Mus musculus: one gene and its partners. The protein of the gene in region 6 interacts with the protein of the main gene of each other region in a pairwise test. Links are inferred from orthologs where the notes say so. Each region holds a gene or a part of one and is shown on either strand. Other genes may lie near its edges. The genes, in order: Ccnd3, Snw1, Cox5b, Cfap206, Ccdc42, Tfip11 and Bysl.

The links.
Region 1: the proteins of Tfip11 (region 6) and Ccnd3 interact in binary tests that used the Homo sapiens proteins (3 or more experiments, as listed by UniProt). The two-hybrid records come from large-scale screens. The link is inferred for Mus musculus from reciprocal best matches to the Homo sapiens genes TFIP11 and CCND3.
Region 2: the proteins of Tfip11 (region 6) and Snw1 interact in binary tests that used the Homo sapiens proteins (3 or more experiments, as listed by UniProt). The link is inferred for Mus musculus from reciprocal best matches to the Homo sapiens genes TFIP11 and SNW1.
Region 3: the proteins of Tfip11 (region 6) and Cox5b interact in binary tests that used the Homo sapiens proteins (3 or more experiments, as listed by UniProt). The two-hybrid records come from large-scale screens. The link is inferred for Mus musculus from reciprocal best matches to the Homo sapiens genes TFIP11 and COX5B.
Region 4: the proteins of Tfip11 (region 6) and Cfap206 interact in binary tests that used the Homo sapiens proteins (3 or more experiments, as listed by UniProt). The two-hybrid records come from large-scale screens. The link is inferred for Mus musculus from reciprocal best matches to the Homo sapiens genes TFIP11 and CFAP206.
Region 5: the proteins of Tfip11 (region 6) and Ccdc42 interact in binary tests that used the Homo sapiens proteins (3 or more experiments, as listed by UniProt). The two-hybrid records come from large-scale screens. The link is inferred for Mus musculus from reciprocal best matches to the Homo sapiens genes TFIP11 and CCDC42.
Region 7: the proteins of Tfip11 (region 6) and Bysl interact in binary tests that used the Homo sapiens proteins (3 or more experiments, as listed by UniProt). The link is inferred for Mus musculus from reciprocal best matches to the Homo sapiens genes TFIP11 and BYSL.

Annotation. Positions count from the first base shown.
Region 1 is NC_000083.6:47,591,957-47,596,330, reverse strand, and holds the start of Ccnd3 (G1/S-specific cyclin-D3), read right to left. Parts: upstream 2,865-4,374; 5' UTR 2,677-2,864; coding exon 2,479-2,676; intron 2,036-2,478; exon of another isoform or gene 2,006-2,035; coding exon of another isoform or gene 1,952-2,005; exon of another isoform or gene 1,932-1,951; coding exon of another isoform or gene 1,926-1,931; intron 1,598-1,925; coding exon 1,382-1,597; intron 258-1,381; exon of another isoform or gene 116-257; intron 1-115. UniProt on the Homo sapiens protein: Regulatory component of the cyclin D3-CDK4 (DC) complex that phosphorylates and inhibits members of the retinoblastoma (RB) protein family including RB1 and regulates the cell-cycle during G(1)/S transition.
Region 2 is NC_000078.6:87,469,426-87,473,800, forward strand, and holds the start of Snw1 (SNW domain-containing protein 1), read right to left. Parts: upstream 2,875-4,375; 5' UTR 2,837-2,874; coding exon 2,823-2,836; intron 1-2,822. UniProt on the Homo sapiens protein: Involved in pre-mRNA splicing as component of the spliceosome. As a component of the minor spliceosome, involved in the splicing of U12-type introns in pre-mRNAs.
Region 3 is NC_000067.6:36,690,110-36,693,948, reverse strand, and holds Cox5b (cytochrome c oxidase subunit 5B, mitochondrial), read right to left. Parts: upstream 2,463-3,839; 5' UTR 2,363-2,462; coding exon 2,260-2,362; intron 1,739-2,259; coding exon 1,665-1,738; intron 1,499-1,664; coding exon 1,399-1,498; intron 753-1,398; coding exon 640-752; 3' UTR 561-639; downstream 1-560. UniProt on the Homo sapiens protein: Component of the cytochrome c oxidase, the last enzyme in the mitochondrial electron transport chain which drives oxidative phosphorylation.
Region 4 is NC_000070.6:34,720,070-34,723,743, reverse strand, and holds part of Cfap206 (cilia- and flagella-associated protein 206), read left to right. Parts: intron 1-947; coding exon 948-1,136; intron 1,137-2,169; coding exon 2,170-2,328; intron 2,329-3,674. UniProt on the Homo sapiens protein: Essential for sperm motility and is involved in the regulation of the beating frequency of motile cilia on the epithelial cells of the respiratory tract. Required for the establishment of radial spokes in sperm flagella.
Region 5 is NC_000077.6:68,585,594-68,589,963, reverse strand, and holds the start of Ccdc42 (coiled-coil domain-containing protein 42), read right to left. Parts: upstream 2,928-4,370; 5' UTR 2,750-2,927; coding exon 2,667-2,749; intron 2,328-2,666; coding exon 2,222-2,327; intron 1,788-2,221; coding exon 1,683-1,787; intron 1-1,682. UniProt on the Homo sapiens protein: Essential for male fertility. Required for sperm development.
Region 6 is NC_000071.6:112,324,948-112,329,289, forward strand, and holds the start of Tfip11 (tuftelin-interacting protein 11), read left to right. Parts: upstream 1-1,421; 5' UTR 1,422-1,526; intron 1,527-2,537; 5' UTR 2,538-2,723; intron 2,724-3,014; 5' UTR 3,015-3,023; coding exon 3,024-3,235; intron 3,236-4,342. UniProt on the Homo sapiens protein: Involved in pre-mRNA splicing, specifically in spliceosome disassembly during late-stage splicing events. Intron turnover seems to proceed through reactions in two lariat-intron associated complexes termed Intron Large (IL) and Intron Small (IS).
Region 7 is NC_000083.6:47,604,854-47,608,527, forward strand, and holds part of Bysl (bystin), read right to left. Parts: intron 2,149-3,674; coding exon 1,986-2,148; intron 1-1,985. UniProt on the Homo sapiens protein: Required for processing of 20S pre-rRNA precursor and biogenesis of 40S ribosomal subunits. May be required for trophinin-dependent regulation of cell adhesion during implantation of human embryos.

The DNA of each region.
Region 1 (4,374 bases), on a different chromosome or scaffold from region 6:
TCTCAGCTCAGGGCCTCGAGCAGGAGAAGGAGGGCTTTGCCTATTCTGAAAAACTCCCCTCACACACAGCCATGTAGACCACCCTTAATCTCTTCACAAAGAGTAAGTCTCCTACCTCCCAGCCTCAATCCCTCAAAAACATCGTGCTCCCTGGCTCTGGAAACTAGATTCATCACAAAGAGCTGTGGGGCCTCCCGGATTCCCAACTCAGGCCTCCCATCCGTGAGAGCTGCTTGACAGGAAGAGGAATCCAGTTCCCCGACTCACAGCAGTCAGGGGCCCCAGTACCCTAGCTTCCCAGCCAGCCAATCACAGGAGTCTGCCTGCTGCCCTCCTCCCTAGGAGATGGGGCCCAGAGACTCCTCTCAGGGTCAGAGAAGGCTTGGCCAGCCACAGAACAAGGTGGAGGGAGGTGCCAGCTCACCCACCCTCTCCCCCAGACCCTGTGGGAGATGACGTTCAAGCTCCCTTCCAGATCCAAGCAGATCCACCTCCTCCCTAGACTCCTCCGGGGCAGGGCAGAACCCAACCGATTTTTTTTTTTTTTTTTTTTTTTTTTTGCCCCGCCTGGAGGAGCCCAGCCCAAGTTCCCAGCAAGAGGCCCCAAGGAGCCACTTCCCAAACCACAGGAGTGACAGCAGCTCCCCACAGGGTTATGAAAGCCCTTGGTCTGAGTGGGAGGGCCAGGGGACCGGCATCATTATCACATCGGAAGCAGCTGCAGCTCAGCTCCCTGTCTGTCTCGGCTCTGGCCTTTGGCTGAGCAGCAAAGGGAGAAACTCTTCCACGGGCCCAGAGCAGCTGCTCGAGTTTTTCAGAAGGAAGACAAGAAAGGGAGGGTTTAGAAAAGAGCGGTGTCTTCGGGGATAGGAGGGAAAGGGATGAAAACACCTCAGCGCTTCCTTCCAGCGAGCAGGGCCTGGCTTTAATCAGCTCCGGGAGGCTTTTCCATCACAAAGTCCACACGGGGATAAAGGCTCATGCAAGGCAGCCCCCTCCCCCACGTGAAGCACATTCCACTCCGGTGGGGGTGTGCAGACATGCCCTGCTGCTGCCAATAAATAACTCACGGTGGCTGTGTAAACCCAGAGGCAAAGTACTGGTGTATAGACCCGCAATTGGACTTGTTGCTATTGGGGGGGGGGGGGGCGAGTTAGGAGTGGAACCCCACTGCGGCCAGAGGAAAGGGATTCATTTAGTTTTAAGCTTGCAACCGAAGCACCACGACCACACTACAAGGCCTTTGTCCCAAAATACCAGCCAGGGGCGAAGGGAGGGTTGGTGGGTGAGGGAGTGAGCTTGGCTTTTCTTTTACTAGTACATAGGGCGATCGTATGTTTGGTGGAGGGGCGGGGGGGGGGGGGGAGGATTCCGCACGCACCCGCAACTGCCATGGAGCCACAGCCTGGTCCGTATAGATGCAAAGCTTCTCAATAGTCAGGGGCGTGGTTTCGCGCAGCTTGGAGGCCAGCAACAGGCAGACGGTACCTAGAAGCTGCAATTGCGCCTTTCGGGTGGGGACGCAGGACAGGTAGCGATCCAGGTAGTTCATAGCCAGAGGGAAGACATCCTCCTCGCAGCGCTGCTCCTCACACACCTGAGGGAGGGCGCACGAGTCATTGCTAGGGAAGGACCAAGTGAAACACGGCAGCGTGGAGAAGTGGGGGTGGGGGGTGGAGGGAGAGTGGAATGCGAAGCAAAAAATAAACCGAGAAGGGATAAACTTAGAGCGACAAGTATCAATAACCGAGGAGGATGTGCCCTCCCCAAGGTGACCCCCCCACTTCCTCTGCATGGTCTCTTCCCCACCCCGGAGTAGGGGGTGTAAAAGAGAAGCCCATGCTCACGAAGGATTCCAGACTCCCCTCCCCCACGGCGAGCGGAAGGGGGACGGAAGGGTCACCTAGAGAGAATTGGGACCTTACCCTCATTACCGCCACCCACTGCACACACACTCCCAGGGGGAAGGGAGGGAACTCCTGCCGCGGTCTCCCGCACTTTTCATTTCCCTGTGGACCGGAACCGAGCCTGCGCCACCCCCACCCACCAGTTTCCCCCGCCAGAACCCCGCGATAGACACAGGAACCAGTTCTGGGGCTAAGGCGGCCGAGGCCAGGGTTTTCCAAACGCGCCCTCCAGAGAGCACCGGGTGAAGAAGGAAGCAGGAGACACCGAGGAAAGCCACTGGGGAAAGAGTGGCCCTTAGCCCGCTTTCCCGACCCAAAGTGAAGTTTAGTTACAGTGCCAAGTGACTGGAAATCACAGAAGAAGCCGATCAGGATTGGGGAAAGGAAAGGGACAGAACGCAGGCAGCTGCTTAGGGCGCCTGTGTGAAAAGGCCAGGCCCCAGTAGTCTGGGCCGCCAAAGCATCTTGCAGATTGTGGTCGGGATCGCAAAGATCCGACAGGGAAAGTTCAATTTGTCCCAGAGCCGGGGGTGGGGGTGGGGTGAGGAGAGGGGACCCGTTCGGGCCTTACCTCCAGCATCCAGTATGCCAGCATCTTCCGCATGTGCGGCTTGATCTCCTTTTGCACGCACTGGAAGTAGGAGGCTCGCGGCACGTAGCGCTCCTCCAGGCGGAGTAAACTCTGCAGGACACGCTGGTCCCCAAGCAGCCGCGGGTCGGGCCCGGCCCGGGGCGCGTGCCGGGTGCCCTCGCAACACAGCAGCTCCATCCTGCGATGGCTCACGGGTGAGAGCAAGAGTGCGGGTTAGCGAGTCCTAGGAGAAGCGACGCGCGTGAGGGAGAGCGCGGGGTGCGGGCGGGTCTGGCGCTGGCGCTGGCACTGTGCGGAGAAGCCCCAGCCCGCCCGCCACCCGCGCGCACCGCTTCCCTGACAGGCGCCCCGCCCCTCGCGACGATGTAGCAACCGTGGAATGCTCCTACGTCACAACGTTCTAAGGGGCGGGGCCGCAGTCGGAAAGGGCTGGCGGGCGCTATACCCTCCCTCCCTCCCCGCAGCCCCATTGGTCCGCTGGGCTCCGGCCCGCACGCTTCCGGGCCCTCGGGTCCCTTCTGACCAAGAGGGTAGAGAGAACTTTCTGGAAGGGTGCCCTCTTCCCCATCAATGGGCCCCGTCGCGATTCTAGCCACCCAGGAAAGAACTAGGCGCCAAAAGTTATTCCTTCGTGTATACGTCATATTTCATTGCTCTAGGGAATGTGGTCATAACTTTGTACATAGTTGGGTCACTCCTACCCTAAAGTGGCTTCTAGGAATGGCCTCGAGTTGGGCTTTATTTTGCAGACCATGATACTGAGGCACAATAGTAGCTGCAAAGATCTCATTGTTGGTCCGTCGGGAAACTTGACTTAGAATCTCGTCTACTTTAACGAATTGCGCAGATCTGCAGCAGCATCTGGGAGCATGTAGTTTCTGTCCGATTCAATGGCTCAGAGGGTAAACTATCCTGGCATCAAGTCTGGCAACCTGAGTGTGATCCCTGGGACCCACATGATGGAAGAGAAGAGAGCAACTCCCATAAGCTGTCCTCTGACTTCTACACCAAGGCTGTATGTAGCATGTGCGCACACACCTTCATGCACATACACAACGAAAATAAAAAGCAAAAGAAGAAATGCAGTTTCTCAGGTCTGCTGAATGGGACACTGCGTTGCACCAACGGAGGTGTGAGCAGTGTTGGTCAAAATCAGCATATAAAAAGCCATTTGGTGCTGGCTGTGGTGGAGCAAGCCAGTAATCTCAGACCCAGGGAAGTGTTGGCTTAACACCAGGATCCACTATCCACTATACAGACAATTCAAGGCCTGCCTAGAGTCTCTCTCTCTCTCTCTCTCTCTCTCTCCACACACACACACACACACACACACACACACACACACACACACACGGTGGCAGGGGGTGGGCTGCAGATATATCTCAGGTGGTAGAGCTCTTGCTTAGCATGCTCAGAGCCCAGGGCTCAATCCCCAGCACTGCAGAACCCAGAAACGATCAGAAGATTAAGGTCACTGTCTGCTTCCTAATGAGTTCAGGAGCAGCCTGGGCTATATAAGATTTTATCACAAAACCAAGCAAACCAAATGATAATAGCCCATGGAGAATTCCAGGCCAGCCAGACCCATGTCAGATGACTCAAATAACAAGGAAGGAAGGAAGGAAGGAAGGAAGGAAGGAAGGAAGGAAGACAGGCATGACAGAGCACCCCTTTAATCCCAGCACTTTGAAGACAGAGGCAAGCAGATTTCTTTGAGTTCAAAGCCAGCCTAGTCTAAATAAGAGTTCTAGGTCAGGAGGAGCTAATATCATGAGACTATGTCTCAAAAACAAAAATCAAGGGAAAAAAGGATGTAATAAGGAAGGCAGGAAAGAGGAAAGGAGGGAAAGAAAGAAGAAAGCCCACCACTAAGAC
Region 2 (4,375 bases), on a different chromosome or scaffold from region 6:
ATCCTTGGGTGCTTTCTCTAGCTTCTCCATTGGGGGCCCTGTGTTCCATCCAATAGATGACTGTGAGCATCCACTTCTGTATTTGCCAGGCACTGGCATAGCCTCATATGAGACAGCTATAACAGGGTCCCTTCAGCAAACTCTTTCTGGCATATGCAATAGTGTCCGGGTTTGGTGGCCTTCCTAATTTTTAACAAGGCCTATTTAGGTAGTCCAGGCTGGTCTTGAACTTGTCCCTGTCTAGCCTCAGCCTCTAGAGTAATGAGATTATAGAGGAATTCCACATTATGCTACTGTGCTTTCCTATTGGTTTTTCTGTTTTCATTGTCAGCAGACAGACTCTCACTGTGTAGATCCAGCTGCTTCCCCAGTTTTGGGATTAAAGCTGTCTAGACCATGTGTATACCATCCAACTTTCTGCATTATGATTAACTATTCATTTACCAGACAGAGCAACCTGAGCTGCCATGTGGGTGCTGGGAAACATACCAGGTCCTCTGCAAGAACAGCCACTGCTTTGAACCACTGACCTATTCCTCCCCAGTCCGTATTTGCTAGTTTTATAAACAACATTTAAAAACACAGAAATGAAAGCTTTGTAGTCCTCAAGCCCGACCATTTTGAGACTTCACCTTTTAGCATTGCTGATAGGCACTCAAGACATATTATACCTCTGGCGTTCTTCTTGTGTGCATCCATTTCAAATTCTACTTTCCCTCTCATGGTCCTACTAATCTGTATCATAGTGCCTGAAGAAGACTCGAATATTTGCTATCTAAAACACTCAGTCAGCACAACTCACTCTTATTTTTCTGTACCGAGGCTAGGACCACACATCTGTTGATGTACCAGTACATCATCTGTTGGTTCCAGTTTCATTTCTGTGGCTGTTGTTAAAAAACTGCGGCAAAACACAATTTACAGGAGGAAGGGCTTATCTGATGTCTTAGTCACTGTATGTATTCTTGCACAAAACATCATGACCAAGAAGCAAGTAGGGGGAGGAAAGGGTTTATTGAGCTTACACTTACACAATGCTGTTTATCACCAAAGAAAGTAAGGAAAGGGACTCGCACAGGGCAGGAACTTGGAGGTAGGAGCTCATGCAGTACCCATGGAGGCTGCTGCTTTCTGGATTGCTTCCCCTGGCTTGCTCAGTTCGCTTTCTTATAAAACCCAGAACTACCAGCCCAGGGATGACACAACCCACAATTGGCTGGGCCCTCCCGCCTTTGATCACTAATTGAGTAAGTGCCTTACAGCTGGATCTCGTGGAGGCATTTCCTTAAGTGAGGCTCCTATCTGTGTGATAAATTGAGCTTGTGTCAAATTGACACACAAACCCAGCCAGTACATTTGGCTTTTAATTCCAGGTTAAAACCCACGAGAGATGTCAAGGCAGCTAGTGAAATCCCACAGACAATCAAGAGCAAGAGGGACTTGCTTTCTTGCAGAGAAGGAAGGAGGGAGGCAAGCAGGCAGGCAGGCTAGGCACCATGTAAGCTGCTTGCTGGTTGGCAGAGTGGCTTATACTCATCTAGCTTATACTGTTCAGGATATCCCGCCTAGGGAATGGAGCAGCCATTAGTGGTTTGGATCTTCCTGCATCTCTTAGCAAGAAAAACAATCCTTTCCAGACATGTCCATAAGCCAATCTGTTCTAGGCAATTTTTTCACCTGATATCTTTTGACCAGGTGTTAAGCAGACAGTTAAAGCTAACCAGGTCAGTGTTATTCTGTTTTTGTTTTTAAATCCTGGCCTTAAACTACCTATACAGACCTGATTGGCCTTGGAACTCTGAGATCCTCCCGCCTGCACTATTTTCATCCGTGTACCCACTTGTCCATCTTCCCGGTTTAAAAAAAATTTTTTTTTCATTCTACATATACTACCTCTAGGGCAAAGCAGGACAACAAACCTTAATTCATATAACCAAAATATTCTTAGGATTCATATTGTTATGAGCCAGGAAAAAATATGAGAAGTGGGTTTAACAGGTACAATCCAAGGCCCTAAAGTGAATACCTTCTTTAAAATCAGACTTTTCCAGCTGAGTTTGCATGGAAAGTTTTTCCACTTACAGCAGTTGGGAGTTACATAACTTTTTGGAAGTCTCCCACTTAGCATTTTCTTTTCCTTAAAGGTTGGAAACACTTTACATACAGTAACCAGGGCAACCAGGAACAGCAAAAGCCGGAGGTGGTTCTATGTACAAAAGAAATTCTAAGATCCAAAGTTAAAAGGTGGAGCGGCGCGCATTTAGTCAACAGCAGCCCCTACTGCTGTCAATTAAAAAAAAACTTGGTCGGTTCTCGGACGTTCCCAACTCTTTGTTTTTTTGTTTTGTTTTTTTTTTTTTTTTTGCAAAAATCTTTGTTTCGGGAGAGAGAGAGTAGCAGGAGAAAATGAGAAGCACAAAACATACAAGCGGCTGGAAAGCCTCCCACGAGACGGGCGAGCTTTGCTTAGCGGGGTTAAATAAGCCGCGGCTTCGCAGTGCAACCATCTCAGCCCGCAGTCCACAAGGCGCTCGTCAATCTACCGCGCCGCTTACGCGAAGCACATGTGAGGTCCTCGCGGCGAGGCCATGTCAGGGCTCTCGGAACAGGGGGGGGCGAACTCAACCCGGGAAGCCCCGAAGGAAAGACCCCGGCTTCGGCGCGGCCTAGTCGCGGAGGAAGCCCGAGAGAGGTTCCAGCCACGGTTTTGACTAAGTTACTTCTGCGCCTCAGGCCAGGTCACAGCCCGAACAGTACGGGCAGAAAGGAAAAGATGTGTACTCCAGACCCTTCCGTATCGAGGACCCAAATCAACAACCCACCTGGTGAGCGCCATCTTCTTCCGCTTCTTCCTGCGCAGGCCACAACGTCGCCGGGCGAGTCTTGCCCGGGAACGAGGAACACAATGGAAAAATGCTCACTGCGCAGGCGCTCTGACCGAACGGCCCTCTGGGCCTTGTAGTTCTTTGAGAGAGACTTGTGACAGCCAGTCTGTTGAAAGTGCGTTAGCAACAACTACCTTAGCATACGAAATTCCTTACTTCTGTAGATTTTACAGGCTACAGGGTCTCTGTTTAACATGTCAGTAGTGATAATACAAAATATGATATAAAGCCTTATTTTGGGACGCTAATACTATTATCCAACTCTGCTTTAAGGCCGCTACACATAGTACTGCTTAAGAGTTTTGAATAGGATGCAAAGTCTGGCTGATCCCCCACTATAAGCCACCCTCCGTGCATATAGTTAATCGTTGTGTTAACAGTCATCTACTTTAAATTTTGCTTCACGAATGAATTATTTAAAAAACAGTGTGGGGTGTGGCAAATAAAGAAGATGCTAGAAATTAAGATCAATGAGCGTAGATTTAGTTCAGCTGATAATTTGGAGCTGAAGTAGGACTGAGACAGGTAAGAAAGACAATTATTTCTTTCTGAGATAGGGTTTTTCTGTGTAGTCCTGGCTGCCTTGGAACTTTTCCTATAGACCAAGCTGGTCATGATCTGACATCAGCTTGACACTGCCTCCTAAGTGTTAGGATCAAAGGTCTTTGCCACTGAATGCAGCTCAAGAAAGACAGTTCTTAGTCCAGCAGTTGAGGCACATGCCTTTAATCCCAGAGGTAGATCACTGTGAGTTCAAAGCCAGTCTGGTCTACAGAGCTAGTTCTAGGATGGCCAAGACTACACAAAGAAACCCTGTCTCAAAAGACTAAAACCAAACTGTCTTAGTGTACCCATTACTGTGAAAAGATGCCATGACTGAGGCAACTTTTATAAAGGAAAATATCACTTGTAGCTGGCTTAAATTTTCAGGGGTTCAGTTCATTATCATTATAGCAGCATCCAGGCAGACATAGTGCTGGAGAAGGAGCTGAGAGTTCAGCAAGCCAATTTGAAGGCAGTAAGGAGAGACTGCTTGTCTCACTCTGGGCAGAGCTTGAGTAGATATAGATCTCTTCAAAGTCCTACATCCACAGTGGCAAACCTCCTCCAACAATGCCATACCTCCTGAGAGTACCACACCTTGCACTAAGCATAAGTAAATCACCACGCCAAACAAACAAAAGGACTCTTCTTGCCACACACTGGTTTTCTATGGTAATGAGAGACTAAAGAGGCTACTGAGGGCAATGTTAAAATAATGAATGTGGGAAATCAGAAAGGCATAGCCCAAAACCTAGGATGTAGGATTGAAAGAAAGGGATGGATATGTATTCTGACAGTCAATTCTCATTTTCCACAGAGACATATCGTTTGGGGTGCTTGTACCCTGATGATCCCTAATCATCCCATGGTTATATAGAGAACAGCAATTTTACTACAACACAATTAAGAGAGTAGATCTGGCTGGGCAGTGGTGGTGCACACCTTTA
Region 3 (3,839 bases), on a different chromosome or scaffold from region 6:
ACAGGTGCAGAGATCACAGTGACAGTTCTCACTGGAGGACAGAGTGGGCTGGAGCTCTGTAACGTCCTTCCCCTAAGTCCTGCGTCAGGGTTAGTGTCTCTGTAGCATATGGCCCAGTTATTCAGTCATTAGCAGGGCAAAACGGAACCATGAAGATCTGAGCAAGGTCAGCATATTGTCACTGCTCTTGCCCCTAACAATCCCCCTTGGTTTTTGCCCCCTCTACATTATATAAAAGTTAAAATTTAAAAGAATTTTTAGCCAGGCTGTGGTGGCAGATACTTTTAATCCCAGCACTCAGAATCTGAAGTCAAGGCAAGCCTGGTCTACAGAGTGAGTTCCAGGCCAGCCAAGGCTACACAGAGAAAAGAGAAACCCTGTCTCGAAAAGCAAACAAATAACAGCAACAACAAAAAGTTTAAAATTTTTTAAAAATAAAATTCTAACAATTCTATACTGGTTTTACATTCTAAGTGGATGCCAAACTAGTATTAAGAGATAGGTGGTCTCAATATATATATATTAAAAAAAAAAAGACTATAGACATAAGACTAGCCAGCTATGGGAGGAGCCAGTGCAATGGCTAATCTTTATTAGAGAGAAGTTTTTCTTTACATTCTGAAAAGATAACACAGGGGCTCAGTGGGCCATTTGGTGGGGCACCAGCTTGTAATGGGTTCCACAGTTGGGGCATCGCTGACTCTCGCCTTTGTGCAGCCAAAACCAGATGACAGTACAGTTGTCCTCTTCACCTGAAAGGGAAAGACGGTTGACAGTCATCCAGCGTCCATGTACAGAGGGAGGCTTTCAGCATTCACCTCTTTCCTACAGACACTTCGGACACAGCAACAAAACTGCCACTGACTAGGAGACCACTTCACGCTCCGCTCCTTCAAATGAAAAAGCGGGGATGCATTTACCTGTGAGTAAGATAACCTTGTATGGGGTCACTGTAGGTTCTAACAATTCCAGTCCCTATGCAAAATTCCAAAACAGGATCTGTACTCATGTGTATCCCTAGTGCTTGAAACAAACAGTACCTGGCATATGTATGTACATACGTGTGTGTGTGTGTGTAAATAATCTGGGCTGGAAAGATAGTTCAGCAATTAAAAGCATGGACTGCTCTTCCAGAGGACCTGAGTTCAATTCCCAGTAGCCACAGCAAAGTGGCTCACAGCCTTGCTTGTAACTACAGCTCCAGGGTCATCTGCCTTCTGTGACTTCTCATGCATACTGAGACTTAAGACAGTCAACAACCCTTACAACAATGTATACACATATTTACATTTTTACACACATACAGTCCATCATACACACATATCTGAAGCAATTTATAGACATTCTGTGAGGCAGGTTATAAACAAATGGGCCAGAAAATAAAAACAAAGTGCTTACAGATGCAGCCCACTATTCTCTTGTTGCTGATGGACGGGACTAGATTAGGGTCTTCCTTGGTGCCTGAAGCTGCCTTTGGAGGTAGCATATTGTATGGGTCCTGAAAGAGACAAGAGTTGACTATTTATGACAGATAACGCCTGCCACTGCACTGCAAAAGGGCCGTTCCTACAAGCTGGGTTGTCAGGACCAGACGCTGGCTGACAGGAACTCCTCTAATCCCATCCAAGCCCCAGGGCTCCAGAGGACACAGCATTTCTCCTTACCAGTCCCTTCTGTGCTGCTATCATGATCTCCCTCTCCAGCCCAGTAGCCTGCTCCTCATCAGTGGGGACACCACCTAGAAGAAGAAAAATGAGCTACGGCAATTGATATGACCACGATGGATACACGATAAAAAGATCAACACGGGAAAGGTGACGTTATCCGCTTCTTTGGTGGGTTCCCAAGCTACCCATTCCCACAGTCCCCTAAGCCCACTGAGGCATGACTCCCAAGCCATACCGTTTTTCCCTTCCCACCGCGGAAGCTTGGTTGTCGACTTTCCCTACAATCAAGTCATGAGAGTATACTGGCTGGTGGCGGGCAAGGGATTTGAATGTTGGTCCAGCGCTTTTTCAGCCCTCCAAGTCCTTGTGTTCCAAGGTCACCCGGCACCTTCCAGTGAGGGCACTTTGAAAGCGGGTTCGATCGGGTGGGCGGCCGAAATTACAGCAAGACCGGACAGAGCGCCGGCTCCCGGAGCCTAAGGTGGTCAGCAGGGCTCGAGAGAACGCTAATGGCCGACCCCGCTCGACCGCCCATCACCAACCACGCCGGAGGCCATGGACACCGGCCTGTCCCGCCCAGCTGGTCACGTACCTCCAGAAGCCATGGAGCGGGTCACGGCCGCGCCACGGGGGCCGTGGGCCCTCAGGGCCTGCGCCGCCAAAGCGCCCACTCCGCGAAGTAACCTTGAAGCCATCTCGCCCGAGACAAGCAGATGCACTTCCGGGAACAGGCTGAGCAAGATGGGCGGGACTTCCGTTGGTGGGAGTCTAACAACGCCCGGTCAGTCTTCCGCTTCCTGCCCCGACCAGCCGAAGCAGCGCTAAAAGTAGACGCCGCACATGCGCAGTTCTGCCTCTTCGTGGGCCGCGCAGACTCCCGCCGCCTCCGGGGCGTGGCGTCAGTCACCCTGACAGCTAGCGGCTTTCGGGTTCATGACCTGTCCGCTTGAGTGTTCGCGCCCAGTGTCCCAGCCACATAGTAGTTCTTGTAGTGGAGGTGCTGTGGAAGCCGAAGTTCCCGCAGTCAAGGGCTTCCACCACGAATCATACAACCTTGGGCGTGAGCTCAGGAAGCCTGTTGTGTTTGTTATGCCTGTTAGCCACGGGTTCGAGACTGCAGACAGCTTTAGTTGTTACCAAATTGTTGCAATGGCCCACTCCGTCAGAAATTGACAGTACACCCCCCCACACACACAGTCTTAGCCTCAATTCCCTCCTCCACTCTGTTTTGTTTTGTTTTTTAAGCACGGTATCACTATGTAGCCTGGCTGACCTTTAACTCCCTATGTAGATCAGGGTGGTCTAAAGCTCACAGAGATCTGGTTACCTCTGCTGGGATTAAAGCTGTTGCACCGTCCTCAGTTTTCCTCCTATAGTAATGTTATGGGAGGTGATGGTGTTGGCCCCAGGGACAAGGATGAGGGGGGTGCGGGGGGTGCGGTGCAGAAGGGCTTTGGAGGCATAGATGTAGGATACCTCCTGATGGCCACTCCACCACGATGAGGATACTAGGAGGAGGAGGGACAGAAAGAAAGTTAATAATGCAACTGGAAATGACAATAGGCACCGTGGCCAGAAGTCTCTAATTTAGACAGAAAACGTCCTCCATTGCTCAGTGTTGCACACAGGTAAAGCCTGACAACTCACGGCAGAGCGTTCACTAGATTTCCAAACACTGGCTTCTTCGATTTATTCTCGTTGTGGAACATTCCTGAAACACTATGGCTGCATACAGTATCTATGCTTCCCTAATTGCGTCCCAGTGATGAAATCTTAAGTACCTTGCAGAGGCCTGACATAATAATATCAAATGACTTTTAGTAAATCCTGCCGCTTGGACCAAAAATATAGTTTATAGAGCTTGTGACTACAAAAGGTCAAGTTGAGGAAAACTACAAAGGACTAAATTCCTGGGTGTTGTCACCTACCCCTTGTAGGTTATTTTCAAAAGGGTCTGGTGGAACATTCCTTCAGAGGAACTAACCTGGTCTTCATGGCTGCCCTCAACCAAGAAAAAAAAATAGCCTATAATGAGGCACCAAATTTCTTGACTGTGAAGATGGGCTTACACTTTGCATAGTTTTCATTTTTACTTCCTTGTCTCCACTACAATCATCTGGATTAATTCCTAATTCAAGGCATCTTTCCTCCAATGAACCCATTATTGATTTG
Region 4 (3,674 bases), on a different chromosome or scaffold from region 6:
TTTCAATTAGTAAAACATTCTCAGTTGCTTTTGTGGTGAAATTATAGATATGAATGCTGCATTGTTGAATTGTGATTGAGAGATTTCACTAAGTTACAAGAATTGTTCTGGTGGTCAAGGTGGTCTCCAGTCACAGCATGACACAGGAAGATAAAAGAATAATAAATTATATATTTGTTGCCTAGGGGTGTTTTGTTTTGTTTTTGGTCAGCTTAACATAAGCTAGGGTCACCTAAGAGGGAAACCTCATTTGAGGAAAAGGCTCCATCATGTTTGCCCGTAGGCAAGTCCGTGGGGCGTTTTCTTGATGAGTGATTGATGTGGGAGGGCCCAGCCCATTGTGGTAGGTTGCACCACTGTTGGGCTGAGCCAACCCCAGTGAGCATGCCAGTAAGCAACATTCCACTATGTCCTCTGCCCCATTCCTGCGGCTAGCTTCCTGCCCTGACTTCCCTCAATGATGGGGAAAACTGTGATGTCTGAATCAACCCTTTCCTTCCAAGTTGCTTTTGGTAATTGGTGTTTATAGAGCAATAGAAACCCTTACTAAGACAATGCGATATTGTATTATCAGTAATATTACTCAGAAGACATTTACTAGGACTGAGACAAGTATAACTCAAGAAGAGTATATAGACTTCATATGTAATACTGCGCCACATGTCTTTACACATTTATGCACGTTTACACATATGCTTTGACAGAATATTCTATTGAATTTCTGTATTTAGACTTCTTGCTGCCCTCTGTTTTCATTCACCATTATGCCTTAAGAGTCAGGGTTTGGGGATTTAGTTCAGTGGGGCTCAATCCCTGCACTCAAGGGAAGGTGGCAGGGAGTTTTGTTTTCATGAACTTGACATACACGAACCTGTTTTTCCTGAGCCCTTATCTGAGGTGGATTTTAAGTATTGAAGATGCAAAATAGTGTTATTTGCTCATTTTAGAGGACTTTCTTGAAGAACATCACCGGGTCTTAGAATCCAGGTTAGGCATTGTTAGCAGAGAAATCACAGACAACAGAGCAAGTGCTAGGGAAGAGCTGGAAAATCTCTACAGAAAGATCGTCAGCTACGTGCTCCTGCGCTCTGGGCTTGGATCCCCCACAGACATCAAGATTGTCAGAGAGGCAACAGGTAAAAACTAGAAATGATTTCCATTCCATAAGCAGACCTATATGCCCACTGTATTCACGTGTATAGTTTGTGCATGTGTATCCATACCTTTGCGTGGATGGGGGCTTGTGTGCAAGTGTGTGTGTGTGTGTGTGTGTGTGTGTGTGTGTGTGTGTGTGTGTGCCAGAGGTTGACCCTGAGAATCTTCCTCCGTATGTCTACTTTATTTACCAAGCCAGGGTCCCTCACTGAACCCAGAACTCTCCATTCCAGTTCTGGCCAGTCTAGCTCAACAGCTTGCCCCAGGATCTCCAGTCTTCCCTCTATAACACTGAAATTTCATAGGAAGGCACTGCACTGGCTCAGTATTGGTTTCCATGGCTCCTGGGGATACAGACTGTGGTCATCACACTTGTGTGGCAAGCAAGCCCCTTACCCACGGAGCCATCTCCTTAGTCCTGGCCATTGCATTTTATAAAATTGTTAAAGATTGAAGGAAAATCAGCACAAATAAGTAGTTCAAACTCACCCAGGTTTCTAGAACTATTTGAGTACATATGAAGGTCTGGGAAGTAGAAGGGCACGGGTAAATCAGGGGTTCAAAGCCACCCCGAGCTATGTACTGAGTATGAGGCCAGCCTGATTCCACAGGACTCCTTCCCTCCCAAAATAAAACCAATATGTAGTGGGGGGGGGGGGGTATTAAACAAGGTATTCGGCCTTCCTATTACAGTTTTCCATTATTATTTTAAAGAATAGATTTATCTACTCAGAGCCTTAATTAGAAAGATTATTTTTGCCAATTGATGAATTAATAAGGACAGAAACATGGGGTAACAACATTATTTTCAGTAGCTCAGACCTGGTATTTGGTAACCTTTGCTATGCATGCTACAGAAGGCATCATAAGTATAAATTGTGTAGGTAACACTAGAAAGACGCATCCCTCGACTTTGTACAGAGAGAGCGAGGCTTTAAACCTGAGTTCTGCCAGCTTTGTCCCACCAGCACGTTGCGGTCCATTGAGGTGTTTCTCTCCTGTGTTCTGCTTCAGCCGCTCTGCAGAGCGTTTTCCCTCAGGCTGAGCTCGCCACGTTTCTGACCCTCAGTAAGAAGGACAAAGAGCGCCAGTTGAAAGAGCTCACCATGATTGTTACCGGAATTCGCTTATTTAACAGAGACTGTGGAAAAGGAGGAGAAGGCATTGATGATTGTAAGTGCATCTGTAGGCTGCTCCTCACTCAAGGTTCTGCATGCTTAAGGCGCCACTTCACAGTGTAGCGGGCACCACACCCCGCCGCCTAAACGTACAACTGCTCTTCATCCCGTGAGGTAGTCCTCGCTTTCCTGAGGCAAAACTTAACATTTTTGGTACCATGGAGCTAATGTCGGGGAACTGAGTCAGTCGCTGGAATGAGGGCTCAGCCCAGAATCCAGATTTGGAACGCTGTGCCAGCCAAGGGGAGGAAAACTAGTTTAAAAGCAAAGATCACCTATGGTGCTGTGTATTTAATGCGATGAAAAAGCCAAAGAGGGCCGGGCGTGGTGGCACACACCTTTAATCCCAGCACTTGGGAGGCAGAGGCAGGCAGATTTCTGAGTTCGAGGCCAGCCTGGTCTACAAAATGAGTTCCAGAACAGCCAGGGCTACACAGAGAAACCCTGTCTTGAAAAAACAAAAACAAACAAACAAACAAAAAGCCAAAGAGGAGACATGCCAAGATCTGCAGAGTCAGAAACGACTCCTGTGCTGGCCCTTACACAATGCTTTGTTGTTTGTTTATTTTTAGTTTTTAGGCAGGACCTCACTGTGTAACCTTGAACAGTCTGGAACTTGCTGTGTAAACCAGGCTTGCCTCAGATTCACAGAGATCCACCTGCCTCGCCTCGGCCTCCCAAATGCTGGGATGAAAGGCACTCACCACCACACCCACAGTGCATCCTTTAAGTTTGCAAATACTTAGAAAGTATCTAATAAAGGACCTAATGGTAAGTCGTTTCATGTGAACTTTACACTAATGCAGACCCGTTGAGAAGGCATTACTGCCTTTATCTAGATCACTACATCAACACCAACAGCAGGGTCAGCCAGTCAGCCACCCTGCCTGTCTTTTCTCCTGCCTTCCTAACTTTTGGGGGCTGGGAAACCACAAGTTACACCTCCAACCCTATGAGGGTTTTGTTTGTTTTTATTTTTAAAAGTTATCATAAAAATTCAAGTACCAGGGTTAGAAAGCTGGCTCAGTATTTGCTACTCTTAAAGAGGATTCGAGGTTCTGTTCCCAGCACCCACATGGTGGCTCACAACCAGGCCATGGCACTGGAACATGGGATCCAGCACCCTCTTCTGGCCTCTATGGGTATTGCACACACATGCTGCACAGGTCTATATATAATGTAAAAATTACAAAAACCAATTTCCCACCAGTCAGAGAGGGCCTTCCCTTGCTAGACTGCTCTGTCTATTTTTCGAGTCCAGATAAAGTTTATACATATGTTTTAAATCTGCTTTTACGAAAGGCATGCTCAGTGGTTCTTCTAAAGGAACATGCCAAATAC
Region 5 (4,370 bases), on a different chromosome or scaffold from region 6:
TGCTCCAAAGCACCAGAGAGGCCCGGGGAATCCCAAATCAGTCATATATGAATCACCTAGAAAGTTTTTAAACACCTATAGGTGTCTGGTCTCAACCTGAGACCTGCTAGAGGCAGAAGAAGGAAGAAGTTACCAGCGTCTGTATTTGTGAAGAGTACCATGAGATTCCACAGCTTCTGACTTCCTGGAAGTCATTTGGAGAGTCCTTCACTCTCAGACTTCCTGTCCTCTTCAATACTCCATCAACTTTGCTCTGGTCCAGGAGGACTGTATCTCAGAACACTGACATCCCTGCTCTGCCCAGTTGTGCATAGAATGAGGGACCTTACAAGTAGGGTTCCTCCAGGAGAGGGCAGCAGTGAGCCCTCCTTGCAACAGCTCCCAACTCCTCAGGACTTCTCTACTGCTGGTCCTGGAGCATTGCTGGCCAACAAGTCTGAGTGAGGCTTTTGTTTTGTTTACATTGTTATTTATTTTTGTGTATGCACGTGTATGCCTGTGAACATGCTTCAGTGCACGCCCAGAGATCAGAGGAAAACTCGGGGGGAGTCAATTCTCTTTTTTTTCTAACATGCAAGTACGTCCCAGGGGGTCTAGCTCAGGCTCTCAGCATTGGCGGTAAGTGCTTTCACCTACGGAGCCATCTTGCCAGCTCAAATCATTCCTCTAAGTACTGATGAAGAGGGCCATCCTCTGAGCCAAACTGCTGTCATCTCTAGGGCCCAGCCACAGAAGATCCATCACAGCTGGGCTGGCTGACTGTTGGTGCTCCCTCATTGTAAGGGGTGGGGAAGGACCAGGGGACCCTCACTTGAGTCCTCAGCCACTCCTTCCAACCAGTTGGATGCAAGTGTGCCTTAGTTGCGTGTGTCCCTAGTGTCTCTGGGAGGCGTTAGAGTGTACCTGGAGAACAAGTACCTGGAGAAGGTGGTGGAGAATTCTGAGGTGGGTCCCAGGGCTGGAGGCGCCACACCACTGGGCCCTTTGTCAGAACCCTTCAAGTTAATGGAATAGAGTTCAGCTCCAGCTTCCCTATAGGTGGGGAAGAACTAGGGGAGAGGCGACATCTATGTAAGCATGGAAGCCATCATCCGCGCTGTACAAATCTTCCAGTGTGGCTGCTTTAGCACACTTTCGCACACATTCTTGCTCCTGCTTATCACTACCCATTTGTACTCATTGGTTCCTCCAGATCACTGAGATCTTAGAAGGAAGAAAGGGGGCATTGCTTAACTCCCTAACCCAAGGTCAAGATTCTTGAGTCTCTTACTAGTCTTTTTGTTTCATGGTCCTTCATTGCAATGGTTTCCTGCCTTCATCTGTCCCTTGCTTTCAATGCAAGGACAAAGAGGGAGGGATACAGTGAGGGAGTGACCAAGCCCCTGACTCACTTCTGTATCCATCAGATCCACTCGTCCACCCAGCCACCTGGGTACTGGCAAGGAAACAGGAAAGGGTCAAGTAGAGAGAAGAGACTGGCAGGTAAACGGGACATCTCAGATAGAGGTAGATAGAATATAGAAGATGCCTGGGAAAGATCAGGCACTCCTGGACCAGGGAAGACACCTTTAATCCCGGAGGTCGGGAGCGTGGGGAGCCCACAAAGTCAAGTAGAGGGGAAGAACCACCTGGCCCAGTGCAGTGTAAAGTCTCTGCCTTCTGCAGGTCACCCCACTTCATACCTGGATGAATTGCTCGAACTTCTGGATATGGGCCTTCAGCTGCTCTTCCTTAATACCTAGTTCTTCCCAGCGCAAGTTCAGCGTTTCCATTCTCCGTTGGAATGCCTGTAGGGCATGTGAGAAGGTGAAAGTCAGAGAGCCAGCCACCTGACATGGGCTCTCAGAAAGAGTCTAACATCATTTGCCCAAAGTGTTTTTTTATCCTTTAGCCTGGGGGGCTCTTGGAACGCTGATGATGTAGCTCAGTGGAAAAGAAGTCGCTAGGAGTTAAATCCCCAACTCTTCAAATGAAACGTAGTTACAGAAGGACTTGTAGTTTGCACTCTCTATCCTGTACAGAGATCCTAGTATAGTATCCCATGACCCTAGTTCCCCCAAGACTCAGACCCTTTCTGTTCTTTGTGGAGGAAAGAGTCCAGAACCAGTTGTAGCCACCCTACCCCCAAAGCGAGGGCCCACCATCCATTAACCTCGAGCCTCAGCCAATCCATTCCCTACCCTGAACCCCTACCCTTATCACCCCCAACTCCCCACCTCACCTCCTTCTTATGTTCCATGGCCTCCTGCATGATCTTGGCCTCTTTCTTCTTCTCCAGGAGCTGGATAGATGGGGAGTCTGACTGCTCCTCAACATTTGGGAACTTCCTGCCCGAGAACAACGAAAAGGGAACAGGACCCTCTGAGAGGCAGGAGCAGGATCGGGTAGGGAGCACCTCAGAGATGGATGCCCATGGGAAGGAAAAGAGGTCTCCACTCTCACCTTAATGAAAGGAGCTGTGTGAGAAGAGAGAGATCTACGAGGGCTTTTTGGGGGCGATTGAGTGATGGGGGCCCAGAGTCAGGGTGGAGTTGGGTCATGGGGTAAGGCAATTAGGAGCACTGGGCTGTAGGAGAGGAAAGACCTGGCAGCAGAGCATCATCATGAGGGTAAGAGTGGTCCCAAGCTCAGAGGCGAGACAGACAGGCTATATACCAAGCACTTACTGCAGCAGTTGAAGCAGCCGCTCCCCATACTGTAGCCGGAAGTATTCGGCCAAGTCCTCCTCTTCCATCATGCCCAAACTCATGGTGGCAGCTACCTAACAGCCCCGGTGGCCTACTTTTCAAAGTGAAATGGTGAGTGACAGTGCCACAGGGCACTCAGGGGTTAGTGGCTGGATTCTCGGTCTCCTCTCCTCCTGCTGCTTTCAAAGTCCCACAGAGAGTGGGTAGCTGAGAGACACAGCAGAAACCAGCTAGAGGCTGCTTTAGTATGTTGTGCTCTTGCGGTGATAGGAGATCTGGTTACCTAGCAACAAGCTGCCTGGTTCTGAGGCACCCACGGTTTGCCCTCTAACCTATGAACCCACTAACTCCCCACCCACCTCTCTCTTTGTTTTGTTTTCAAGATAGGGTTTCTTTGTGTAATCCTGGCTGTCCTGGAAATCACTCTGTAGACCAGGCTGGCCTTGGACTCAGAAATCTGCCTGCCTCTGCTGCCTGAGTGCTGTGAGGAAAGGTGTATATCACCACTGCCCGGCTAACCTCACTCACTTGAGGTGGCCTCTCTGTTCCCGAGGGCACCTTTCAGGAACTCTGATTACGTTACCAGTTGCTCCTTTACCGGGTAGGGAGGCAGGGTATGACCATTTGCCACAGAGAATGAAAGCCTGACAGAGGAGTCCGATCTGTGAAGCTGACTCCCGGGCACCTCTTTCCTAGGGTTAGGTGAGGGGGAAGACGAGATTGGGTGGCAGATGGATGGTAAAGAGCAAAAGCAGCAGAGAGACGACCAGGGACAGGGAGAGGTGGACAGAGAAGTGTGAAAAGTGGGGAAATGATGAGACGCATTAGAACAAAGTAGTGGGCCAAAGAGATGTAGGGGCATACAGCTCCTGGCCGCTTGGAAAGGGACCAAGGCAAGGCAAGGTCCCTTTATTATAAGACGGAGTTTATTAAGTACAGATAAAATACTCTTTTGAGCTATAAGTGCAGGTGTGGTGGGTAATGGAATAGGTCCCTTGTTTAAATGGTTTACCTCTTATGGCTGCCTTCCTCCATTCCAGAGGACACATGCATATTTAAATACTTATTTGACTTGAGGTTAAAGCTGTGTACGGTTGGGTCCCTGGGTGAAACAGCACTATAGTGACCTCTGCTGGCACTAGGCCCTGGGTGCTGACCCCTCCCTGCCCTTCCTCCCAGCGGGCTGAGGTAGGATTGCTGGGGGTCTCTGGCTGGAGCCAAGGACAGAGCTTGCAGGCTAAATTGTGGGTCACCTGGCATGCTGCTTCCTCTAGCTCTCCAAATCCCTGTTGTGAGGAAGAGAGTGTCCTGCTCGTGTTTCACCTTTGGTCTCTCCTCAAGGTACAGAAAAAAGCCCACCCACTCTGATCTCACCCATCTATCCCCTCATCACCCCCAGCCCACCGTAAATCCCTAATCCCAACTCCAGATATAGACCCAGCAAAATGACAATAAGGCAAATTATTTCTAAGTTTCACAAAAGGTGTGTGTGTGTGTTCTTTATCCAGTTAATTTGTGTGATGGTTTGTATATGCTTGGGGTAGAAAGTGTCACTATTAGGAAGTGTGACCTTATTGGAGTAGGTGTGTCACCTTGGACATGGGCTTTAATACCCTTGTCCTAGCTACCTGGAAGCCAGTCTTCTAGCAGCCTGCAGATGAAGATGTAGAACTCTCAGCTCCT
Region 6 (4,342 bases):
GCTCTCCCACACCACCATGCCTCTTCCCTTCTTCGTTCTCCTCCCGGCAGCTATGAGTTACAACTTGCCTGCCGTTCCCGCCCCCACCCCCAACCCTGGCCCCACTGCCCGCCCTCAGCTCTCTGTATCAGTTCTTAGATGCTTTCATTCACGTGACCATAAAACCCCAAGAAGGGACCCTGATCCCACAGTATCACATTGGCTCTGACGGACTCCCCAAGAGCCTCACTAACAAATCCTCCTGCATGTTTTTTGGTTAGGTTTTATTGCTGTATTGTAAAGACCATACCCAAGAGCAATTTGGGAAGGAAACTGATTTATTTGCTTTACAGATTACAGTCCAAAGACATTTTTAAAAAGAACTGAAGTAGAAGCCACGGAGGGAACGCTGCTTATTGGCTTGCTCCCTGTGCTTACAGCACCCAGGACCACAGGGGGAGGCCCCACCCACAATGGGCTGGGCCGTCCCACATCAATCATGAATCAAGCAAACGACACCAGTCTTGCCTACAGGCCATCCGATGGAAGCACCGAGTCCTTTTCCTAGATATCTCTAGTGTGTATCAAGCTGACAGGGGAAAACAAAAATAAGTCCAGCCAACAACAAAACCCACCAGGACCCAGCCTTTTAGGGTATTAGAGAAAACAAATTAGTTTCAGAACCAGAGATGGCACCAGACTATGTATAGATTTGTAAGATGTGTAAAAAGATGACATATGCTCTTTGTGGGTCGCGTTGGCACACGCCTTTAAGGCCAGCACTCAGGAGGCAGAGGCAGGCAGATCTCCCGAGTTCGAGGCTAACCTGGTCTACACAATGAGTTCCAGGACAGTCAGGGCTACACAGAGAAACCCTGTCTTTCTTTCTTTCTTTTTTTTGGGGGTGGGGGGTTTCGAGACAGGGTTTCTCTGTGTAGCCCTGGTTGTCCTGGAACTCACTTTGTATGTAGACCAGGCTGGCCTCGAACTCAGAAATCCACCTGTCTCTGCCTCCTAAGTGCTGGGATTAAAGGCGTGCGCCACCACGGCAGGATGAGAAACCCTGTCTTGAAAATTCACAAAACCAAAACCAAATCAAACCAACAAGAAACCCCAACTCCGTTCTTTCCCAGCGACAGAGAAATAACTAGAGCAAAGAGGAGAACAATAAAACTGCTTCCTGGAGAGAACTCGACATGGGGTCGCGAGGACATTTTAATCTCTCAGTGTCCTCGTGACGCTGGTAACGCCAAGTAAGACTCCAGTGCCTGGCGACGGCTCGCCCTGGAACGAGACGGCCACTCAGCCTCAGTTCCGATGGGAACCAGAAGCAGCGCGAGGCGGGATCACCGGCCCTTCCGGGTTGCAGACACGCCCCCTCCGGCGTGAAGTCGCTGCCGGGGCAACAGCGCGCCACTTCCGCCTCTGAGCGATGACGTATTTCCGATGCGCCGGTAAAGGCCACATCCGGGTTTGGGCTGGCGGGACCCTCGCAGATTCGGGGACGCTGGGCGAAGGCTGTGTGGCTCTCGCGGATGCTGAGCGAGGTGAGCAGGCGGCGGGGTGGCGTCCCGGGAGCGCGGGCTGAGGCTCCGAGGCTCCGTGACGACGGCTTTACGGTTTCCCTGCGCTCCGGGCCCGCTGCTGACATTGAGCTGAGCGTCTCCTGTCCCCTGTGCTGGGGAGGTGGCGGTGCTGTAATTGAGTGGGCCTAGGGCTTCCTGCTCCTTTGAGGAAACTCAACATGTGCTGGTTGCTGGGGTCGGAACCTGTTGAGTTTCGCCGGTGCATAGTGAGGAGGAGGAGGAGGAGGAGCAGCGGGGGGGGGGGGGAGCTGTTAGTCACCGCGGAGCCGTTTTCACGCTGTCAGTCACTGGTGTCACATAGTGAGGATGTTACTGTGCAATGCACACAGTGTCGGGTCGGGACCTTTGAATGTGATAACCACACTCACAGGTGTTCATAGAGGCGCGATTTAGACTCAGGCTGGGGTGTTAAGTGTTAATGATTTTCACAATCATTTTGAAGGATTCACTTCGCAGTCCTGACTTGTAATGAGTGTGAACCTGAAACCCGATCATGGAGTGGAAGAAGATGCTTTTTTTTTTTTTTCCTTTTTCCTCCCTTTCCCCCCGTTTCTGTTTTTTGTTTGTTTGTTTGTTTTGTTTTTTGTTTTTGTTTTCAAGACAGAATTTCTCTTTAGCAGCCAGCCCTGGCTGCCCTGGAATTTGCTTTGTAGACCAGGCTGGCTTTGAACTCAGACCCCCCTGGTCTCTGCCTCCCTACTGCTAGAGTCAAAGATGTAAGGGTGCTGTTTCTTGAGCACCTACTGGGAGCGGAGCTTTCGTTGTTGTTTTGTCGGTTTTGAGACCAGGCTGGCTTTGAACTTAGAGAGATGGATCTGCCTCTCTGCCTCCAAAGTGTTGGAGCTTTTGTTTTTCGAAAGTATCATCTTAATCAGTCCTTACAAGCTTCTCCTGGAACTGAATGAATGCAGTTATGAGAGAGAGAGATGAATAGCTACCTGGGTAGAACACTGTTTTTTCCCTACCCTCTAGGAGTGACTGCAAAGTGGCATTCAGAAAGACTGCAACCTTCCAGTACCGTAGAAGCCGTTCAGGGAAGGAAACCTTCAGTCCCGTGGAAATAGTATTTCAGAAAATGCTCTGAAGTTTCCCTGGAACTGCAAATTGGCTAGATACAACTTTTCCTGGAGAAGTAAAAAGACCAACCTGGTTTCTGAGGTAATAACATTTAGAGCTGTTGCTTCCTTTCTGTGGCATATGTGCCTGTCATTCTGTGGCCCCGCCCCACGCGTGCATGGTGATTGACTCTGACAAGGCATTGTGCGTTAGGCCCCCTTCGGATGGCTGGGTCTGACTTGTCTCACTTGTCACGGAGCTGGTCATTTTGCCCTTTGTTTAATGGCTGCTTTACTGAGTTGGATCATGAGGCTCATTAATAGCTTTTTGACACTGGCGGATCTTCTGCTAGCCCCAGGTTCTCACAGTGCTGTTCTTGTCACCGTCCTCTAGTGACTGGCCATGTCTCTGTCCCACTTGTACCGGGATGGCGAAGGCCACCTTGATGATGACGATGACGATGAGAGGGAGAACTTTGAGATCACCGACTGGGATCTCCAGAATGAGTTCAACCCCAACCGGCAGCGCCATTGGCAGACCAAAGAGGAGGCCACCTACGGGGTGTGGGCGGAGCGAGACTCGGACGAGGAGAGGCCCAGCTTTGGAGGCAAAAGGTACTGTGTGCTGGGCTGCATGCCCTGGGTCTGGAGGATCGGGAAGGCATCCCAGAAGAGTTTTCTGCCCTTGTAGAGTCCGGGTGCTACAGCATCTTGCTATGTGTTGTTGAGCTGGGGTGGCGAGCTCCCCCTCAGCAGTTACTGTGTGATGGGATCAGGGCTACTTATGGATAGGGAAGTGCTGACCCACCACAGGCATGGCAGCTGTGGGGCCATGCTGTGTCAGGGAGCACTCACAGGGCACTAGAGAACAGGGAGTTTAGAGAGGGTGCTCTGGAGAAAACGCTGTTGGACCAAACGGAGGTAGAAAAGTGAGTAGGTCCACAGGGGAGAGTGGTAGTACAGCCTGGGGTCCACATTAAGATGCTGTCTCAAGTCTCCCCACCTAACTACACTCAGAATGTTTTGATTAATTTTACTTAGGATTTTTATCTGTTTGAGTTGTTCTGACTTTTATCCTTGAAATAGTATCTAAAACAAACACTGTGTGTGTGTGTGTGTGTGTGTGTGTGTGTGTGTGTGTGTTTACAGGCATGCTAGATAAGTGCTGTACCACTCTAAAGCAAAGCAGACACTAAGCTAACACAGTCTTTTCAGTTGTAAAAGGGGGCCCAGTTTGATGCCTCGGAGGTTGTTGCCATGCACACCTGGCTAGCTGGGTTCAGTCACCAGATTCCTACAGGGAAGGGGAAAGGGACGAGATGCTCTACAAATTGTCTGCACAGAGCAATAATGGCATTTTTGAAAGCGTCCAAAGGAAGTAAGATTATTACATCCTAGTCTGAATTTATACTCAACCCTACTGACAGTGGCAAATCTTCAGTTATAGTTTGAATCGAACAGACCCCACGAGTGTAAAATGTGGGCTGGAAGAGGACCCAGGAGCAATTGAGATTGAACTCAATTGCTATTGCAGACCTGAGTGTGGCTCCCAGCCAGTGCCCACCTCAGGCAGCTCACAAGTGCCTCTAATTCCATCTTCAGGGAATCGAGCCTTTGGCTCATCGGGCACCCACAGTGTCATGTGGTTAGGCCCCCCCCCCATATAATATTTTTTAAATGTTAAATGTAAGATTATTGAGGGCCTCTCTCTCTAAGGAATTC
Region 7 (3,674 bases), on a different chromosome or scaffold from region 6:
CACTGTTCTAATTTTAGTGTACGGGAAGCTGGAAGCGAGCAATGTATAATTCCCCTGGACGCTGACAAATCTCGATCCCGCTGGGATGCACAGCCTCAGTTCCCCTCTATGTCCATTTAGCCGCCTCAAAGTGCTGCAGAGCACGGGCCCTGGATGTCTCTGCATCTGACGCAGAGCCAGAGTGGTGGGGACGTTAGGCCCTTAGGCCCTGAAGTCAGCTCCGGCTCTTCTGGTCCTTGTATGATCCTGGGCCCGTCACTTGACTCCTCTAAGCCTCAGTTTCCTCATCTGTAAACTGGGGAAGTAAAAGGACCCCCCTGGACAGTCAGCTGAAGGGTAAAATCTAAGACTGCAGCAGGCCCGACTCTCAGCCAGAGCCAGCAGGTCCTGAGGGCTGTTTACTTCAAGCTCACCTCCCACTGCTCACACAACGGGGAGCAACTTCTGAGTGCAGAGTGGAGCTCTGTGCCAGGCAGCGCTGGTGCACACCTTTCATCCCAGCGCTCAGAAGGCAGCGGCAGGCAGAGTTTTGTGAGTTCAAGGCCAGCCTATCCTACTCACCCAGCACTTGCCTAGCAAGGATGAGACCTGGGTTCTGGCTTCCAGCACAAGGGGAAAAAGTTTCTCTGCAGTCTTTTTCTGTGCCGAGCAGCACTGAATCTGACACTTTCCAGACTTGTGTCCTGTGGTCTGCATGACACTGGTGGCAGGTGCTTTTATTCCCCCGCACTGCCCAGGCCGGGGAATCGAGACTCAGGGCCAACCAACAACTCTCCTAAGCCCTAAGACTTTCTCAGGGAAAGGGTAAATTTTAGTCTTTCGACTTCTAGTTTGGGTGCTTCGCAGCGTCTTCAATGTGCCTTAAGTGACAAGGCCTGATTGCTGTGTTCCCAAAGACCCTTAGCCTGGTTTCTGAAGATGCCAGCAGCCACTGCTCAAGAGTGCCCACGGTCCCCCTTTCCACCATGTTGTCACTTCCGTATAGCAACTGCAGAAAACATTCTGCTAAGTTTGTCAGATCAAGAGCCACTGGGTATGAGGTGCTGCCCGAGAGCCTTTGGGGGGCACATCACACCCCATGACCATTCTCAGAGCTGTCAGACACCTTCAGGGGACAGGGTTCTCCTGTGTTCTCTGAACCCAAGCTGCTCATCACCGTACTATTAATGATAGTGGTGTACTACACCCCACTCTGAAGAATAAACTGGTTGAGCCCCTTTGCCCTAAGCCCAGTCCTCTCAATGAGGCCAGATCCATCTGAATGGAACCAAGAATCTGACCACAGGCAGCCTAAATAACTGCATGTTTAGAAGTAGCATTTATAACACATGGGGGTACGTTTGTGGTTCTACCCAGAGGTAGTTTTAACCCCTCTGGGAACATTTTGTCAGAGATAGCTGCTATTGGCCCCAACACTGTAACTGAGATGGAAAACCCTGAGTTAAAGACTAAGCTATGGGCTGGCGAGATGGCTCAGCAGGTAAGAGCACTGACTGCTCTTCCGAAGATGCTGGGTTCAAATCCCAGCAGCCACATGGTGGCTCACACCCACCCGTAATGAGATTTGGTGCCCTCTTCTGGTGCGTCTGAAGCCAGCTACAGTGTACTTATGTATAGTAAATAAATCTTTGGGCCAGAGCGAGTGGGGTTGGCCAGAATGAGTAGAAGTCCTAAAATTCAATTCCCAACAACCATATGATGGCTCATAACCATTTGTACAGCTACAGTGTACTCACATACATAAATAAATTAATCTTAAAAAAAAATAAGACTAAGCTATGAGAGTAACGTACCAAGAATAAACACTACTAAACGGATCCCCAGCTATCACAAGGAACCGGTAATCCAGAGGTTCCAGATCAGATGGGCAAAGGGGAATCCGGGTCACTCCCGTTCAGGGGCCACTCTTGGCAATGGTCAGACCAACAGCTGTGGTCTGGATGAACTTTCTACCAGGACCCACTGGTCCAACCTTTAAGCCTTACCTCACGGGAGGATTCTTGTTCATGAACATTTCAATGGCACGCTCATCTTCAGGGTCCACGATCACCTCTGCCTGGTGGTCCACCCCGGCCATTTTGGCTGCCTTCTCCAGGGTAGGCCACTCCTCATCCTCCTCATCTGATCCATCCTGTGGCAATCCCGGCCCTACAAGATAATCCCAGCCGCAGGGGCTTGTGAGTCAGTTCCCCATTCCACGTACAGCACACCCAGGGAGCAGGAGGGACACCTGCAGAGGGACTATCCTTTTGTCCCCAGAGACTTGGAATCTTGATAGAAAATACAGCACACGAAGCGAGAGATGATAAGGCCAGTAAAGACTGGATGACATGTCCCCTCAGTGAATGGATGACATGTCCCCCCTCAATGACCAAGAAGGATCCATTCTATACTACACACATGTAACCTGGTCTGTCCAGATGACCTCAAGGAATAGGTACTGTTGCTATACCCAGTTCAAACCGGGGCAGAAGAGTTGATGTGCCCACAGTAGGTAGGCACTGTGGGTCCTGACTTCCCACTATGTTGCTTGCACAGTGGAACTGCATCATGTGCTGAAACTAAAACCATGGTGGAGGCAGTGTGCACCTCAGGCACTTGGATGAGTACAGAGGCTGAGGAGGCTCTGGATGGGCAGTCTGGGAGCAAGAGCATGCTCCACGTCCTGGAAAGTAATGCTGTTAGAGTGTTGGGCACTAAGGAGCCAGAAAGGAAACGGAAAGCCAACCTGGAAGGCTCTAAGGCTGGGCAGTGGCATTCGGACTCTGATCAACCAACACATTTAAGTTACTGGCTTAGGTAGTCGAGGATGACTTGGGAGTTCCTTGTTCTCGCGCCTCCACTTTCCAAACACGCACCACAGTGCTGAAGGCTGAGCTTCTGATGTTGGGTTAATCCCGTGTGTTCCATGTAAAGGCTGCCTGTGTACTATTCACATGTTAATCTTTGTTCCAGCAGAGAGCTGAGTACAGTCGGCATTGGTTTTTTTTTTTAATGAAGCATCACCTGTCTCAGTGTTGTGGAAACTTCTTCTCCATCACCTTCTGATTGGTTTAATCAAAAGCTGAGTGGCCCATAGCAGGGCTGGAAAGGATAGGCGGGACTTCTGGGCAGAGATAGGAACTCTGGGAAAGAAATCAGATGTGAGGGGACTCAACAGCCAGACACAGAGGAAGAAACACGTGCTGTTACTGAAGAGCAGTAACGAGCCCCGTGGTTGAATGTAGACTAGTATAAAGCAATTATGTTGTATCAGCGAGTTCGGAACAAGGCAGCTAAGGCCAAGCTTTCATAACTAATAAGAGGTCTCTGTGTCCTCACTTGGGTGATAGGTGGGTTGAGCCATTCCTGCCACATCCTGAGGTCCTGACCATGGAGTCTTGGCTGGGTACTTCCTGAGTGCTGGGATTAAAGTCATGTGCCAATACACCGGGCTGACTTTTGAAATACCGCACATAGCTGGCAAGGCAGTTGGGAAAGAGTCTAATAAACCAAAGTAGTTGAATTATTACCATAGCAACAGATCAGTTGCTATGGAAGTGGACTAAGGGTATATTATATAGAGCTCCAGAGAGTACACAGAGCATACCCAGTGAGAGCCAAGGTTGTTTGTTTTAGGTTTATTTTACTTTTAATGTTTGAGTGCTGACTGCACGTATGTCTGTGCACAAGTG